Linked DNA regions of Xenopus tropicalis. The protein of the gene in region 3 purifies or fractionates together with the protein of the main gene of each other region. This does not show direct contact. Links are inferred from orthologs where the notes say so. Each region holds a gene or a part of one and is shown on either strand. Other genes may lie near its edges.

Evidence for each region.
Region 1: the proteins of gna13 (region 3) and arhgef12 purify together in Homo sapiens (affinity purification with western blotting; 3 studies listed by BioGRID). This does not show direct contact. The link is inferred for Xenopus tropicalis from reciprocal best matches to the Homo sapiens genes GNA13 and ARHGEF12.
Region 2: the proteins of gna13 (region 3) and arhgef1 purify together in Homo sapiens (affinity purification with western blotting; 5 studies listed by BioGRID and IntAct, with this or other methods). This does not show direct contact. The link is inferred for Xenopus tropicalis from reciprocal best matches to the Homo sapiens genes GNA13 and ARHGEF1.
Region 4: the proteins of gna13 (region 3) and arhgef11 purify together in Homo sapiens (affinity purification with western blotting; 3 studies listed by BioGRID). This does not show direct contact. The link is inferred for Xenopus tropicalis from reciprocal best matches to the Homo sapiens genes GNA13 and ARHGEF11.

The regions. Positions count from the first base shown.
Region 1 is NC_030683.2:78,844,390-78,848,567, forward strand, and holds part of arhgef12 (rho guanine nucleotide exchange factor 12), read right to left. Parts: intron 2,156-4,178; coding exon 2,041-2,155; intron 1,739-2,040; coding exon 1,633-1,738; intron 376-1,632; coding exon 175-375; intron 1-174. UniProt on the Homo sapiens protein: May play a role in the regulation of RhoA GTPase by guanine nucleotide-binding alpha-12 (GNA12) and alpha-13 (GNA13). Acts as guanine nucleotide exchange factor (GEF) for RhoA GTPase and may act as GTPase-activating protein (GAP) for GNA12 and GNA13.
Region 2 is NC_030683.2:106,768,807-106,772,984, reverse strand, and holds part of arhgef1 (rho guanine nucleotide exchange factor 1), read right to left. Parts: intron 2,786-4,178; coding exon 2,750-2,785; intron 899-2,749; coding exon 740-898; intron 581-739; coding exon 472-580; intron 1-471. UniProt on the Homo sapiens protein: Seems to play a role in the regulation of RhoA GTPase by guanine nucleotide-binding alpha-12 (GNA12) and alpha-13 (GNA13) subunits. Acts as a GTPase-activating protein (GAP) for GNA12 and GNA13, and as guanine nucleotide exchange factor (GEF) for RhoA GTPase.
Region 3 is NC_030686.2:50,664,563-50,669,481, reverse strand, and holds the start of gna13 (guanine nucleotide-binding protein subunit alpha-13), read left to right. Parts: upstream 1-1,935; 5' UTR 1,936-2,220; coding exon 2,221-2,503; intron 2,504-4,919. Other genes in the region: regulator of G-protein signaling 9, read right to left, coding at 1,666-1,678. UniProt on the Homo sapiens protein: Guanine nucleotide-binding proteins (G proteins) are involved as modulators or transducers in various transmembrane signaling systems.
Region 4 is NC_030684.2:131,917,536-131,922,158, reverse strand, and holds the start of arhgef11 (rho guanine nucleotide exchange factor 11), read left to right. Parts: upstream 1-1,507; 5' UTR 1,508-2,655; coding exon 2,656-2,690; intron 2,691-4,623. UniProt on the Homo sapiens protein: May play a role in the regulation of RhoA GTPase by guanine nucleotide-binding alpha-12 (GNA12) and alpha-13 (GNA13). Acts as guanine nucleotide exchange factor (GEF) for RhoA GTPase and may act as GTPase-activating protein (GAP) for GNA12 and GNA13.

The DNA.
Region 1 (4,178 bases), on a different chromosome or scaffold from region 3:
GTAAGTGTAGAACAATTCCACATATTATTATCCTTTTATTTACATAGCACCAATATATTTGATGTGTTTTAAGGATACTGGTCCCTGCAACTCTGTATTTTAATGTTTTCCATAGCAATTAAAAAATAAGCAATTAAATAACTTATAAATTTGTCTTGTAAGAGAGGTACTAACTTCCTTCCACTTCTCTGCCAACTTCCTGAAAGGTGTATGCTGCACCCAAATTAGATGATGGAGAGAACGGTGTGTCAGAACCCTCAATGGAGCCACCGCTAGTGCGCAATCTACTTCCATCTGCTGGTTCAGGGCTACTGGATGAAGATGTGGATAAGTGCTTGGGGTGGCGTGGCCGCTGAAGTTCCATAGCCCTGCCAACTGAACATAAAAATCAAGACATCGTAAAAGTGTTAATAAACCAGTTTTTCTATCATTTTTTCCCTAACGGGAACCATATTAATTTGGCGAACTAGTTGGGGGGGGACACAAATATTCATGCCAATGGTACAAGTTATATGGCAAAATGGATTATTTACATAACGCCAACATATTCTGCAGAGTTTTAAAGAGGTTATACACCATTTACATAATTCCCTGCCCCAGTGAAGTTTACAACCTATTCACACGCAGTGTGGTCTAATTTATTTGGAACTAATTGTATGAGGAAACAGAAGTAACAAGCTGAAACATGTATGGTGAGAAAGTAAAACCTCCTTGAATATACACCTGTACTGCTCATGCGGAAATCAAATATAGGACTCTATAGCTGCTAAACATATACCTGTTAATTACTTGCCAGTTCCACTAAAACATTTTGGCTATTAGAAGCTTGGAGGCTGTAAGTGCAGATGTAAAGTCCATGGCTCTTCTGGTGCCTCTGAATACTGTGCCTTACTAATTCAGATTAGTAAGTAGCAATCTGGACACAACTGCTTTGTGTATGGAGTTTTAATATGCACTTATTTGGTTGTTACTGCAACCTTACTATGACCAGCACATATGCTCATATAAGGGTAAATGTCCAACTGGATATTCAGGCCCAAGTAAAGATATGCAGTATTCTCCTGATAAACTCATAGAATAATTCTGTAAGTGCCTTACAGAGGGAGTTTTCATGGCAAATAGGCACATATATACACTTCAGACTCATTCTGTGCAGTGAAACATTGACTGGAAAGAAACTGCAAGGATGTACATTTTTCATATATAAACTGAGAAACTACCTTTTCATTTTTTAGCTGGATTTACTTAACATTACATTTTAAATGAAAGATTGTATCCCTTTAAACAGCAGTATCTGCATCACAGGTTATCAGTGATATACCTGCCAACATAGGCTGAGATATTATAGATGTTTCTCAACTATATTTTAGAGCTAACCATTATTATTTAATCACTCTATTCTGAATTCCAGTTATTTATATGCTGCTTCTTCATATAACGATTGGTACTGTTCCTGGAGGAGTTTTTGACATGCTCACTCTCTTATACACACTCATCATCCTCATTAGCATGCAGACAAATATTCAGTTATTGAGAATACCAAATTAGCCATATAGTCTGAGGTCCTGGGTTGGAATATTTAGATAATTAGTGACAACAATTTGCAATGTGACTGGTAGGATTTATACGTACTTGCATTACTATCTTGTCGGCTAGGCTTCCTCTGAGGTGCAAGGATGCTGGGAAACCCTCTTCGCTTCACCTTTTCCTCACCCTCCCGATCTTTCTTCATACTTTGCTAAAACAAGAGCAAAACAGAAGGTTTGCTTATTTCAGATAAGTAGACAATATTTTTAGTGTTTTCATCAAAGTGCAAATGTGATTTATAGCTGTATATATGTATATAGATATATACACACATATGTACATACACAGATATAAATTTACTTAGATATCTGTATATGCATATACATATCTGTATATATGGATTTTTTTATCGATTTTTTTTAACTGCATATAAAGCTTACGGTACTACTGGACATTAATGGATACTAATGCGGACAATATAAAACACTGGAAGATTAAGATATCTTAATTTACCTTAATTTTTGGGAGGAATCCAATTCGACCACGTTTCTGTTCAAGACTTCGTGGCTCTTTAACTTTCACACCAAGATGCTTCATATAGGTTAGAATCACATATTGTATGGTATTGCTGTGAATAAACAGCATTTTTCAGTATATTATTATTAACATTTATTTATAAAGCGCCAGCATATTCCGCAGTGCTGTACAATAAGTGGGTTTCATACATTGGACATACAGAGTACCATATAAAGCAATCAATAACCGATACAAAAGGTGAAGAGGGCCCTGCCCAAAAGAGCTTACAATCTACAAGAAGTATACAAAGAATGCAGATCTATGAAATCTATTTAGGTCCTCAAGCACACTTATTCAGCTATCCCATGGTAGGTGTGCATTTAACTATAAGAAACACTATACCCCCAGAATGAATACTTAACCAACAGATAGTTTCTATTAAATAGTATCGGTCACATAGTGTATGAACCTGCCCTGATCATTCACAAATTTTGGAAAGTAAATTTGTAATAATGACAAACTAATTTAACATATACTATTGCTTTTTACAGATACATGATGGCGGGTGCAACAATGAAGGCAGGCATATATTCTGGAACATGGAGATATATTTGTCTTCCCCTTTGGGAGACATATATTAACACTCTTACACACACACACACACACACACCTCATATACTACTAAATGTTACACACATATCTATACATATTACCCTGGACCAGCTGTAGTCTGTCATGGTTATATTTAATAGGTTATTTACATTGCATATCATTTATAACTGCTCTTGAAACAAAGGTATTTTAATCACCTTGGTGAGTGGCACTTTTACAATATAGGTAATACAGGGATCCCCAACCTTTTTTACCCCGTGAGTAACATTCAGCTGCAAAACTTGTTCGTGAGCAACACAATACGTGAACAGTAGCGCAAACACAATTTTTAATAATAATAATATACACTATATTAAAATGTTATATAATATCAAAATATTAGTGTGAAATCTGGCACTGCATGTTTTCTGCCAGTTTTTGAAAATCTGAGGTGTAGCTGATGGGAAGCAGTATGGCACACTGGAGCTCTGAGGATACAGATGGGAAGCAGTATGGCACACTGGAGCTCTGAGGGTACAGATGGGAGGCAGTATGGCACACTGGAGTAGTGAGGATACAGATGGGAGGCAGCATGGCACACAGAAGCAGCAAAGATAAATATAGGACAGAATGGCAGGAGCAAACAGGTAGAGGAGATTGTGGACAGGATAAGGGCACAGAGGAACAAGGAATAAAAGAATGTAAGATGTGGAACTTTTTGGAAACATATTTCTGGTACAGCAAGATTGGAAAAAAGGTAATGGTTAACAGAAAATGTGAAATATATGAAATATGAAAAAATTGGCACAGCAGTGGCATGGGCTGGGGAGAAGGGATCACTAGGATGCCTTACCAGAAAAGTATTGTGCTGGGAACAGATAAAAAATATTCAGTGGAGGGGAGCTGGAACTCAAAAGATTGTGCTGGTATAATTAACAGCTGGATTTTACAGGAGGTTCACAGGACTGATCAGGATCTTTTCTCACCCTCCTTCCTAGCCCCCCTGCTCCCTGATTTGCGATTGTGCCTCCAGTCAAATCCAGCAGTCAGTTATAGCAGCACAACCTTTTCTCTCCCCCCCCCCCTTCCTAACTCCTCCAGTTCCCTCTCTTGTGACCCTGCCTCCTGTCATAGCTCTCCCTCTGTTCCGAGCCCTTCCTGCTCCCTCACTAGCAATCCTGCCTCCTGTCCTATCTCTCCCTTCGTGTCCAGCTCTGCCTGCTCCCTCACTTGCCATCGTTCGTGCCTCCTGTCAAATCCAGCAGTGAGTTATAGCCGCAACATCTCTCCGTGACTCTTTCCAGCCCCGACTGCTGACTGCTGAATTTGACAGGAGGCACGATTGATGGCAAGTGAGGGAGCAGGCGGAACTGGGAACGAAGGGAGAGATAGGACAGGAGGCAGGATCGCAAGTGAGGGAACACAACTAGAGATTACTGGGGGGAGAAAAAGAGATCGCAGACATACTTACAGTTGCGATAACGAGGTGAAGTTCTTCCTGGCTGTCCCCACTATATATGGCCAGAGCAGTTTTCCAACTGTTT
Region 2 (4,178 bases), on a different chromosome or scaffold from region 3:
GGTGATGTGTGGCGAAGGGGTATAAATCAAGCTAGCGTAATCTGTGTGTCTGTGTGCAGTGTCCATCTGAGAAGGGGAGAACGAAGGAAGAAAGCCAAATAATATCTGGCGCAACAGAGAACAGGGCGACCATGGAAGCTTAAAAAAAAGCACCCAGTGGAAGTCCTTGCCGTTTCAGAAGCCTGGCAAGGTAGCGCGGCAAAATTGCAACAGGAAGAAGCTTGGCAGTAAATTGACTTAGAACACCACAAGAGCCAACAACTTTTGGGAGGACACCACAGGAGCTTGGCAACAACATGATGGTGGAGACCAAAGGAGCTTGGCAACAAGTTGACGGAGGACACCACAGGAGCCTGGCAGCAAGTTGGGTCACTCTGCAGGGCCCAAAAGCAGAAGGAAGGGAAGGTGGCACAATGCGGAAGAGTGTCAGCAATAGCCTCGCAGAATGTGCTTTACCCCAGTAAGCCTTACCTTTCATTTTCTGCACTTTCCTCAGTCTGGTCTGCTGGGCAATGCTCAGTGGTGGGGGATCCTTTGAGGACCTCAGATGCATCATTAGACAATGCCCCATCAGTCACTGCTTCAGAGGAGAAAGAGAGAAACGACTGCAGTTATATTCCATTCCAGAACCATCCTAATGGCACCACCCATGCACCCCCCCCCCCCTTCTGCCTTCAACTATGCTCTCCAGTGCAGGTGCTGGTTATGCTAGTGCTCATTTATTGTGCCTCACACTTACCTGGGTCAGGATCATTGGGCTCATTAGGAGGGGGGATGATATTTACAGACACCACAGAATCAGGCCCTTCGCTGTTCTTGGATTTCGCTGTGCTGCTGTCACTCCTATCAAAAGTTCTCTGCCCCTGGCTGACCCTTCTGTCCGGGTTTGGCTTCTCAGCTGCAAAAAAACAAGCGGTCACGATAAAGACTTTATCACTTCTCAGAAGAGCAACCAAAATGTGGCTATTTTTTTTTACATTAGCTAAATGCCTTCCCACTATCTACACCCATAACCAGATTCTAACTCCTTTTCCAATTTAGACAATCACATTGAATATTACAGGCTCCAAGCCCAGTTACGTTAATTCATTTTGAACACATACTTTTATTTTCCTGTTGGATTATATTACTCTACCTTAGATTCTGGGCACTGTCAGCTTTATAAAACAATACAGAAAAGAAAAATCCCATTAATGATTAGTATATGATATAGGAGCGTAAAAAGATCAGATTTAGCTCAATCCCGTTCCCTCAACCCAAGTGACAGAGCATGTTTTAGAGAAAGGAAAGAGAAATCAGATGAAAGGCCTAAAAGCCTTCGTCCCACAGCAATGAAATTACACATCTCCTATTTATTCCCTTAAAGCGCCAATTGACGAAACAATCACTAAGAGTGCACTCTGTGACTTGCCCTTTAAAGCAGATTACCCCCTTCATTTCATCCCCTGGGTGCTTTTCTTATTCGATTTAAACTATGTAAACAGAGTGCAGAGTTGGCAGAAAAGCACCCGCGTGGCAACTGGCAGCCTCTCTCTCTCACTGCAGGACGAGCAAAGAAAGGTTTAGCGCACTGATCTTCTTAATGGAACACTTTGACCTTTCTATAGTCCCATTGGATCGGGGCAATTGGATTGGTGGGTTAAAATGTCACAAATACCCACAATAAAAGAAAGATGTGGCGCTACAATTAAGGCTGCCACAGATATCTGTCTGGTTTGCCCCTCGCTCTCTGAACATGTTTTTTGTTGTTTAAAGGGTCGGTTTCAGTATTATGTATATAGTGCTAGCTTAGTTAGACAAGGACCTATCATTACCAACTGTTCAACTAATCAGCATTTTTTACATTTTTTTGTCTATTTTAAATGGTTTTTGAATTATTACCCTCACCATTCTGCCTTTTCTCCAGCCTGCAAACATAAATGTCACTAACCCCAGCATCCAAAAACACGTGGACTTAAAAGCATTTGTTTTAATTGTTATTCGGTTGCATCTGACTTACTTTTATATTCTATTCTGACTTCATAACTTCTACCTGGTTAGGGGAAATAATTCAGCTTTCAGTGGATGGGAAGGGGGGGCAGTTGCAGGGAGTTTTACTTCAACAACAAGTGAAAGGCTGAAGGCTGGTTACTGACAGTAAGCATTACAGCTTGTCCATATTTGTAGCCCCCGCTTATTCCTAACTACACCCTATTTAGCAGGTCCTTATTATGTACCCTTTAAAGATAGATCTGTCTCTCCAAGAATGCAGGAAAGCAACTACTGTATGAAGCTAATTATGCTTCTTGCACTGGGAGACAGAGTGTGGCTGCTAAAATCAAAGTGGATGAAGGAGAGGCTAATGCGCCAAACATAGCTGCTTCATGGGACTGAAGCTTTAGAAATAAAATTGTATTTTAGCAACAGCTTGGGGGTAGTAGTTTTAACATCCCTGCCTCCTAATAAGCACTCTAATGATTTGCTAGCAGAAATAATACCCTTTTTATAAGTAGGGCTATGTTTTGTTCTTCCCTGTAATGTATAGGAGGAGGAGAGCTCACTGTGTGCACAGGGCATTCTTTTGCATTAAGAGTGGAAATATTCTATATCCTATACTGAAGCTGTGTAAATGTATTCAGCTGCCGGGATGTTACCCCTTTCTGCTAGACCAAGGAGTTGCATTTTTATTCCCCTCAAAGAGAAGATGTGGAAGAAGAGAGATGTGGAGAGGTGGTTGTGGGGTGATTAGTGAGTTTGGTTCGGAAGGTACCTTCGGGCTCAACTTTGGATGGTCTGCTGTCAACATCTGCGAAAAACACGGGGAGGAGCGGAAAAAGGGAAAAACAAAACATGGCATGAAGACAAGCTAGGACAGGAGGCCACCCACACACCCAGCACGCCCATAAAGGCAGAGGGACTGTGAAAGAGTGCCATGCAACAAACAGAGAGCTATGCCCAACACAGACATAGTGACATATTTATTATACCGGTGATGTTGCCCATACCAACCGATTGGTTGATTGTTGCTTTTGTTTTCTAACTTGAAGGTGACTGTTCAATTCTAACTGCTGATTGGTTGCTATGGGCAACATCACTGGTTATATTGGCTTACACACTGTAATAAATATGCCCCTAAGTGTGCAATTCCCAAGGAGGCCACCATGCATCTTACCCATGCACCCCAATGGAAATCAAGACAAATGCAAGCTTTACAGAAGATGCTGCAGAGACAGAGGTGCTGACTACATGGCAGACTTATTTAACAGACAATGACAGTAAAAGGCTTTTATCACCTTAAAAATTAACTTTTAGCATGATAACATATTTATTGTAATTTGCTACTAATTGTTATTTTTATGTTTTTTTAATCACTTAACATGTTGCGCTAAAGCTCTGCAATATTAAATTCATACTACTATCTAGTTGCTAGGGTGCCACTTACCCTAGAAACCAGGCTGTAATTTGAAAGTCAGACTGGGGCCGACTTTCCCAAATATAAGCATAGGTTGTGAAATATTATAATAACATATTACAATAATATTAAATTGAGCTTGAACTTTAGTGGCCATTGTACTGAGTGTGAAGACTGAATGTGTGACTGAAAGAGTACAGAAACTGGAGGAGGAGCAGGGAGAATGTAGGGAGGGAATGAAGATGGATGAAGGTGGATGGGCATGGAGACTGGGAAACAAGCAGGGAGGAGGTGGAGAGGGCATGGTTATCGGAGGCTGAGAAAGGAGGAAATTGTGAGGATAAGGAGCTTAGAGAACATGGAGAGAAGATATAGGGAGGCCATGGAGACTTAAGAACAAGGAGGTTGGAGATGGAAAGAAACAAGAACAAGTCTGAGGATTTGAGGGAATGTACCCTGGAGAACAAGCATGAAGGAGATGGAGAGAGCACTGCTACTGGAGAACAAGCAAAGAAGGAAATGGAGAAGGAATGTAAACTGGAGAACAAACAGACAGGAAACAGGCAGGGTACAGAGAGGAGATGGAGAGGGCTCAGATATTACGGAGTAAAAGGAAAGGAGGTTAGAGGGCACAAACATTGCAGAACCAAGGGGGAAGGAGTTATGTTAAAGTGCCAAAAATTCAGTACGATATTAACACTGGCTACATCATGTTATACATATTACAGGGTTATTTTTTTTTGCAGTATTTAACCCTAAAATACAAACCTTAAATGTCATGTTACTT
Region 3 (4,919 bases):
AGCAATTTGTCTCAGAATATCCCTCTCTGCATCATAGTAAAGGTTAACGTGGAAGTGAAAGTGAACAACCCCTTTAAGACTAGAATTTCCTGGTGTGACGCTCTACAGCCAACGTAACTCCCACATCAAAGACCAGCGCCCATTCTATGTTTATTTACTTTGTGTTTCCCCCAGCAACCAAATGGTTAACCACCCTAACCCCAACTGTATTCTCATATCCGTGTTCCCTAAGCAGGCACAGACTGTAGGACGGGGCTCGGGGCCCCTTGCTCTAATTAGCAGCACTAATGACACGCTGACTTCCCTTGTATAAGCAGGTTTTACTTCCTACTGTAATTATATATATATATATGGCCTATAAAGCAGGCTCTATGTACTGTGTATTTCCCTGTATACTTGAGCAAATAGTTGTTAGCCCGTGTGTGATTGGCTGGAGAGTAATAGAAGAACCCCCACCCTATTGTGTAACAGCGAGGCGACCATGTTTCAGGGCTTTTCAGAACAACTTAAAAAGGGCGATATTACTTGGCATCTCCAGCATGACAAGGGCTTAAATATGTGCCTTATTTCTAGTAGCCAATCAGAATGCACCATATAGCCAGGTATAGGATAGTAATGGTGGCTGCAGTCCCCATGATTAAACAGAAGGTTGGCTATATATTCCTTTAAAGGGGTGGTTCACCTTTAAGTATGTTATAGAATTGCTAATTCTAAGCAACTTTTCAACTGGTCTTCATTTTTTGTTTTTGAATTATTTGCCTTTTTCCTCTGCCTCTTTGCAGCTTTCAAATGGGGGTCACTGACCCCGGCAGCCAAACCCTATTGCTCTGTGAGGCTCCAGTTTTATTGTTATTGTTACTTTATATCACTTATTCTTCTTTTCAGCCCCTCTCCTATTAATATACCTGTCTCTCATTCGAACCACTCCCTGGTTGCTAAGGTGATTTGAGTCTTAGAAACCAAATAGCTGCTGAAACTGCAAGCTGCCGAACAAAAAACCTGAAATAATTAAAAATCTACAAGTAATAAAAAATGAAGACCAATTGCAAATTGTCTCAGAATGTTACTCTCTACGTCATACTAAAAGTAACTCAAAGGTGGGCAACTCCTTTACGGTACCAACCCCCTTAGCAATAATGAGTGCAAATGGTTAACATGAAATTCCCTTGCATGGACATAACCAGTTATTATTAGGGCTGCGCCGAATCCCGGATTTGGTTTGAGATTCAGTAGAATCCGTCGGGGTGGGTTTGGGGGTTCGGCCGAACCCAAAAAAGTGGGTTTGCTGCATCCCTAGTCATTATTAATAACATGTATTTATAAAGCGCCAACATATTCCATAGCGCAGTACAATAATGGGTTATATAATTACTTAGATTGTAAGCGCTACGGGGCAGGGACCTCCTTCCTACTGTGTCTCATACCACATGGCACTTTATATATATATATATATATACATCTATATACAGAATGAGGGGCATTTGACACTACACAAGCCCCTCAGCAAGATGGAGCAAGTCTAGAGAGCAAACTTCCTGGCAGCCAATAGAATTGCAGAAGGAGAATCACATGATGAGGTGCGATAGCCGCCAGACTGCAAGTAGAAGGGCAAAATGACCAAACTGAATATTATATATAAATAATAATAAAATATAGAGGTATTACTTTGGCCTCTCATCTCTTCAGTAAGCTGAGGCTTTTATAGGGGAGAGTAATTTCTCAGGCAGCCTACAGAAGGGGTATCCTGCCACAGAATGAGGGGCAATTGACACCACAGAACAGAAGCCCCTCAGCAAGATGGAGCAAGTCTAGAGAGCGAAGTGTCTGGCAGCCAATAGAATTGCAGAAGGAGGATCACATGACGAGGTGCGCTAGCCAGTAGAAGGGCAAAGGAAGCATCACGTGAGGAAGAGTTGCAAGATGGCGGATGGTGTTGCCGGGTTCGGGCCGCGCCCCCAGTTCCCGCGTTGCTCGGTGTAGACGAGACGTTTCCCAGCGCGGCGGAACCCTAGAGAAACGATAGCCGCTTTCTCTGCCTCACACACCGGCGCCTTAGCGAACGGAAGGAACCGCGCGTTCCCGCCTTCCACTCAGAGCGAAAGGAGTCGGGGGCGCGCACGTACCCACCCAGCGCCGCTCCCGCGCACGCACCGCCAGGACCGCTCCCCCGTCCCAGGGCCGCCGATGAGGCAGGAGTGAGCCAGGGCGAGTGTGTGTAAGATGGCGGACTTCCTGCCGTCCCGCTCCGTGCTGTCCGTGTGCTTCCCCAACTGTGTGCTCACCAGCCGGGAGGCCGAGCAGCAGCGCAAGTCCAAGGAGATCGATCGCTGCCTCTCCCGGGAGAAAACCTACGTCAAGCGCCTGGTGAAGATCCTGCTGCTGGGGGCCGGGGAGAGCGGCAAGTCCACCTTCCTCAAGCAGATGCGCATCATCCACGGGCAGGACTTCGACCTGCGGGCCAAGGAGGAGTTCCGGGCAACCATCTACAGCAACGTCATCAAAGGTACCCGGCCCGGGGCAATTGTGTCACTAGTTACCCACTGGGGGTAACTAAACCTGCCCCAGCAGGATACCCCCCCCCCCTCATGTGTAGGAATGGGTTAATTACCCCGGGGAAGGGATTAGGGGGGTATGTAGGGCAATTATAGCAAACCTACCCACAGGGGGGGCACTTAAACTGGGGGTAACTAAACCTGCCCCAGCAGGATACCCCCCCATGTGTAGGAATGGGTTAATTACCCCGGGGAAGGGATTAGGGGGGTATGTAGGGCAATTATAGCAAGCCTACCCACAGGGGGGGCACTTAAACTGGGGGTAACTAAACCTGCCCCAGCAGGATACCCCCCCCCCCATGTGTAGGAATGGATTAATTACCCCGGGGATGTGATTAGGGGGGTATGTAGGGCAACTATAGCAAACCTACGCACAGGGGGGGCACTTAAACTGGGGGTAACTAAACCTGCCCCAGCAGGATACCCCCCCCATGTGCAGGAATGGGTTAATTACCCCAGGGAAGTGATTAGGGGGGTATGTAGGGCAATTATAGCAAACCTACCCACATGGGGGGCACTTGAACTGGGGGTAACTAAACCTGCCCCAGCAGGATACCCCCCCATGTGCAGGAATGTGTTAATTACCCTGGGGACGTGACTAGCCCTACATACCCCCATGTAGGGCAACTATAGCAAACCTACCCATGGGGGTGGCACTTAAACTGGGGGTAACTAAACCTGCCCCAGCAGAGTGCCCCCCTATGTGCAGGAATGAGTTAATTACCCTGGGGAAGTGATTAGGGGGGGTATGTAGGGCAACTATAGCAAACCTACACAGGGGTGGCACTTAAACTGGGGGTACCTAATTGCTCCCCCCCCCCCCCCGCATGCAGAATGTGTTAATTTCTCCGGGAAAGTGAATAGGGGGGTATGTAGGGCAGCAATAGCAAACCTGCCCCATCAGATTGCCCCCGTATGTGAGGTGGGTATGTGCAGGAATGTGTTAATTACCCCGGGGAAGTGATTTTAGGGGTATATAGGGCAACTATAGCAAACACCCACAGGGGTGGCACTTAAACTGGGGGTAACTAAATCTGCCCCATCAGAGTACCCCCCCCCATGTGCAGGAATGTGTTAATTACCCCGGGGAAGTGATTAGGGGGGTATGAGGGGCAACGATAGCAAACCTACCCACATGGGTGGCACTTAAACTGGGTTTACTTAAACCTGCCCCATCAGTGTACCCCCTATGTGCAGGAGTGTGTTAATTACCCTGGGGAAGTGATTAGGGGGGTATGTAGGGCAACAATAGCAAACCTACACACAAGGGTGGCACTTAAACTGGGGGTACCCAAACCTGCCCCATCAGTGTACCCCCTATGTGCAGGAGTGTGTTAATTACCCTGGGGAAGTGATTAGGGGGGTATGTAGGGCAACTAAAACAAACCTATATGTATGGGCTAGGGGTATCTACAGAAATGTCTTCCAATATACCCCAGGGCATTTATCCAAAAATCTACCCCTTTGTTGGACAGTTAGATTGGCGGAGTATCTGCAGCAGCATTATATTTTGTTCCTGGGGGGCGGTTGTGCTAAGGGGCATCAGTAGCCCCGTTACCCCAGGGGTTTGAGTGGCGAGCGCTATATAAAGGTACCCCAGTTCCAGTAGTGGGGGTAATAGTTTGTACATCGTCAAATTTTACCCTTTCAGAGGGGCACGGTTATATTGGGGAAGTGCTTACCCACAGCAGCACTATTGGTGCCACCCCGGGGGTCACAACATCCTTACTAATACCCCAGGGGGCAGGGTGGGACGTGGCACTGAAGGCGTTGACATCACGTGTGAAGTTATCTGGGACTGGGTGACAGTTGCTGTATGTTTACAAGGTACCGGGGGGGGGGGTCCATATTATGGGGCCCCAGTGTTCTCTAGTTACCCCTAGTGGGGCATACATGTGCTTGTTGGTAATGACATCCAAGTGACACCAAAGGGGGCAATTATAATGGGACCTTTGGGTAACCTGTGCAAGGATTAATTAGATCCATGGGGGGAGGGATGTAGATACCCCTGGGGTTTGGGCAGATTTTGCGGAATTTGGGGAGGGGGCAATTGTGTCAAAATGATCAACTTGGCTACCACTGCAAAGTTACCCCCAAAGCTGGGCAGCCCAGAGGGGTGTCATCAGTGGTTCATCTTCCCCTTTAGTAAGTACAGCGTACAGTAATGGCCCCTCAGTGACACTAACCCTTGGATAGGGTAACCGGGGGGGGGGGGGGCATAATGGGGGGCGGGGTTTTGCAGCAGTGACATTAAGTGTTATCCATCATGGCTTCTACTCTGGCTTCATTCAGCTTCCCCAAAGGTCACCAAGGTAACGGGTACACTTATAGGCATGGGGGCATTTATAGGGTGGGGGTATATGGGCA
Region 4 (4,623 bases), on a different chromosome or scaffold from region 3:
AGTAGCCACATCAAGTAGCTGCTACTAAGTAGCTCTGTGTGTCTTCACCCTAAGGGGCACATTTACTAATCCACAAATCCGAATCCCGAATGGGAAAAAATCGGATTGGAAACGACGAAAAAGTCACGGAAAATACGAAAAAATCGCGACGGCGATGAAAAAGTCGCAAAAATACAGATCATTGCGAAAAAAATGCATTCGGATGCTTTCGGACGTTCGTGGATTAGTAAATGTGCCCCTAAGAGTCAAAGACACAAGAGGATAGAGGTCCCTGCCCCATAGAGCTTACAATCTAGATGGGAGGGTAAGAGTCAAAGGCACAAGAGAATGGAGGTCCCTGCCCCGTAGCGCTTACAATCTATATGGGAGGGTAAGAGTCAAAGGCACAAGAGGATGGAGGTCCCTGCCCCGTAGAGCTTACAATCTATATGGGAGGGTAAGAGTCAAAGACACAAGAGGATGGAGGTCCCTGCCCCGTAGAGCTTACAATCTATATGGAAGGGTAAGAGTCAAAGACACAAGAGGATGGAGGTCCCTGCCCCGTAGAGCTTACAATCTATATGGGAGGGTAAGAGTCAAAGGCACAAGAGGATGGAGGTCCCTGCCCCGTAGAGCTTACAATCTATATGGGAGGGTAAGAGTCAAAGACACAAGAGGATGGAGGTCCCTGCCCCATAGAGCTTACAATCTATATGGGAGGGTAAGAGTCAAAGGCACAAGAGGATGGAGGTCCCTGCCCCGTAGAACTTACAGTCTATATGGGAGGGTAAGAGCCAAAGACACAAGAGGATGGAGGTCCCTGCCCCGTAGAGCTTACAATCTATATGGGAGGGTAAGAGTCAAAGACACAAGAGGATGGAGGTCCCTGCCCCATAGATCTTACAATCTATATGGGAGGGTAAGAGTCAAAGGCACAAGAGGATGGAGGTCCCTGCCCCGTAGAGCTTACAATCTATATGGGAGGGTAAGAGTCAAAGGCACAAGAGGATGGAGGTCCCTGCCCCGTAGAGCTTACAATCTATATGGGAGGGTAAGAGTCAAAGACACAAGAGGATGGAGGTCCCTGCCCCGTAGAGCTTACAATCTATATGGGAGGGTAAGAGTCAAAGGCACAAGAGGATGGAGGTCCCTGCCCCGTAGAGCTTACAATCTATATGATATATAGTTACATTTATATAGCACCAGCAATGCACTGCCACACAATAGGAATGTAAATAGCTTCCTGTCCCAGAGGGATTGTATAGGAAAGTGGGGAAAATAAATATACCAGGCGTTTGGGGCTTTGCCTGTGTTTCTGTGACTAGATTTGACAGCAAGGAACACACAAGGGGAAAGCTGCCGCTTCAATGCAGCATTATGTTCTGTCTCTGTCCCCTTCCCTGAAGCAGGCAGGAGGGGAGGGAATTAGTGGGGGGAAAGGAGAGGGAGGGAGCTGAGGGAGGAGAGAGGGGAGGGAAGGGAGGTGGGGAGAGGACACAGAAGAGGGAGGCTCACTTTCCTGCACTCTACCCAGTAGCCAGAGAAGAGGAGGTTGGGGGGGTGAGGGGATCTGCCTAGCCTGTGTGTTTATTGCAGCTCCTGCTTGTATTTATGCAGAAAGGGGGGAGGGAGGGCAAAGAAAGAAAGAAGACTAAAGGCATGAAAAAAGGAAAGAGGGAGGGGATTCCAAGACAGAAAATAACTGATTTTTTCCCTTCTATCCCAGGCTCCTACCCCTGCTCACACACCCTGCACACTGCTGCTGCATGTCCCACTCTGTATTGTATTGGGCTGCAGCATTGGGGGGACCTTTGTGCTTCTTGTAGGCCCCTCTCTCTCCTGCTGCTGCTGCTGCTGCTGCATGGGGAAAGGGGGAGGGGACTGCAGCAATCCAGGCAGGGGGCTCTAGGAAAGCCTGGGGATTTCACAGGCCTAACACTGAACCAAAGGGAGACAGAAAGGACACACTCCATGGATCTGCACTGAAGGAGGAGAAATCCCAAGAGGAACCCAGCCTGGAAGGATCTCCTTGGCTAGCACCTGGGCTGCTCACTTTCTTTTTTTTTTTTTTTTGCACAAAACACCAAAATAGAGGATTTTTTTGTTTTTGTTTTCCACCTTTACCCCATTTCTTCTCCCCCCCCCCCCTTTTTTTTTTTTAATTCTCAGTTTTATGATGACCTAAAACAAAAGCCTTTTTGTTTAGCGCTTTCATTTTATGTATAGCTGGAGCAGCCCTACTCAGGATTATATTATTTTACTGAACGAGGATAAAGGGAAAAAAAAAAACAAAAAACGCCTGTTGGAAGATTGGGGAGGATCAAGAGAAAAAACCCTTAGGATTTTATCTTATTTTATTATTTTTATGCTGGAACCAGGATCTATCCACCTTTTTGGTTGAAAGAATAAGGAACCGTATATAAATATATATTTTTAATTTCTTTTAGTAATTATTATTGGGGGAGAAAAAGCCAGTTTGTTAGGCTGAAGGAGGTGAGACCATGAGAGTTGTGCAGTGCAACATGGGGCTGTGCGTCCCTTTAACATTTAAAATGGGCATTTCAGTGCTTTGAAATCCTATCTATTCTCCTTGCTTCCCTCCTCCTATTATCCTGCTTTTTTTTTTTATTTGCCCCCGAGTTAAAACCTCTGGAATTTTCGGAATATTCTGCTACCATGAGCATCAGTTCTGCACAGACATCCGTAGACCGGTAAATATACTTTCTGCTTATTCTATCTGATCCAATATTAATGCAATTGTATATGTGTCCTTCCTGTGCCGGGCTAAATCACATGGGGAGGATTGTAAAAAAAGAAAAAATCTATACTTGTGTGTAGTGAATAAGGGTTAAGACACACGGAGCTACTAGTAGCAGCTACTTGTCATGGTTACTAAAATAGACAATGCTGATAATTGTCTCTACGTGTTTTTTTAGCAGAGGCATTTCTCAGTATTGTCTATAGCAGAGTATTACTGGGGTTTAGTAGCTGCTACTTTTACTGGGGTTTAGTAGCTCCGTGTGTCTTCACCCTAAAGGGTAAATATGTTAAATCTTAAAGAAATAAGTATTTAAATGTACTCGTGTATAAATAAAAATATGCAGGAATATACTGCATACATGTGTGTTTTATATAAATGTACATATTCAACATTATATACAGACACCGATTTCTATATTATATATATATATATATATATATATATATATATAAATATATATAGAGAGAGAGAGAGTGTATATAGTGATACCACAATTTTATTTACAGATCTAGAATAACATGCAGGCAGATAGCTGCAAAGCTGCAGATCCATATACATTTATACATTAAAGGAAATGCTGCTGCCCCTTTATTATATGTGACAGGTTCTTTTCCACCCCTCCTCCCTTATGGCATTCGATGTGGCCTCCCAGAATTCCTTGGCGATGCAGATATCTGCTTTATAACAGCCCCACTATACTACAGGATATTACTAAAAATAACCCATATTTATAACATGTTTCGGGAAACATACTGTCTGGGCTGTAGGTGTGTGTCGGCTGGCTGCGTCCCTTCAAGTGATATTTTGGGTCTTCCTTCAGGCTTGCACAGTGTTACATTACAATTTTTGATTGGTTATTAGGCCTCAGAATGTGAGGAATTATTTATGATGACTAGGTGCAGAATTGTGCCCATTAAAATGCCAAGAGCCACCCGCTGGCACAACTGGTGCTCATTTATACTAGCAGTTTGCCCATTGGTAATGTTTACATTGGTACATAAGATGGAAAGATAGCCTGTTCCTATTTAATAGCGCCCTATGCCTTGTGCCTGCTTTTGTCAAGCGGTACGTACATGGCTTATTTAGTGACCCCTAATTAACGAGAGTGCAAGTTTATACCCAGTAGTGTAACTAGGATGTGCAGAACCAGAGGCGGCCTTTTGGGATGCTGCCCCCTCACACCCGACGCTTACCTTTCTGAGCGTCATAGAAGTGCGACTGGAAATATAAAAATCAGAATTTTGGCTCTTAAAGCTTTTTGCCTCCCCTGTTAACTTGTGGGGCTACTATCTAAACTTGGGTCATGGCAGCAGCCCCTGTGCAGACCAGGTCTGGACTGGGATTCTGAATAGGCCCTGGCATTTTAAGTGCACAGAGGCCCAATAAATAGTGACTGCCTATGGCATCTTAGGGTGAAGACACACAGAGCTATTAGTAGCAGCTACTTGTTGTGGCTACTAAAAAACAATGCTGATCATTTACTGATAATTGTCTCTACATGTGTTTTAGCTGAGACAATTCTTAGTGTTGTCTATGGCAGGGTATTTTCTGGAGATTAGTAGACATGACAAGTAGGTGCTACTAGTAGCCCAGTGTGTCTTCGACCTTACAGCAGCCCCAGAATCGACAGATTGCCAGTCTGTGCCTGGTGTAGACCCCACAACTAGATGGGGGAACAGGGGACCTGGAAAGGCCTGATGGGGGAACGAGTTTATTTGCAGGTCCCACAATGTGCTTGTGCCCAGGATTGTAATGTTCCCACATAAACAGAGCAGGGGCAGATTGTTTTTTTTGCTGGGGGGGCTGGGTGCAAGAAATGATGACACTGTGTACACCCATGTTCTACTTGCATTCCACCACTTCTCTCACAGGTGCAAGCTGAG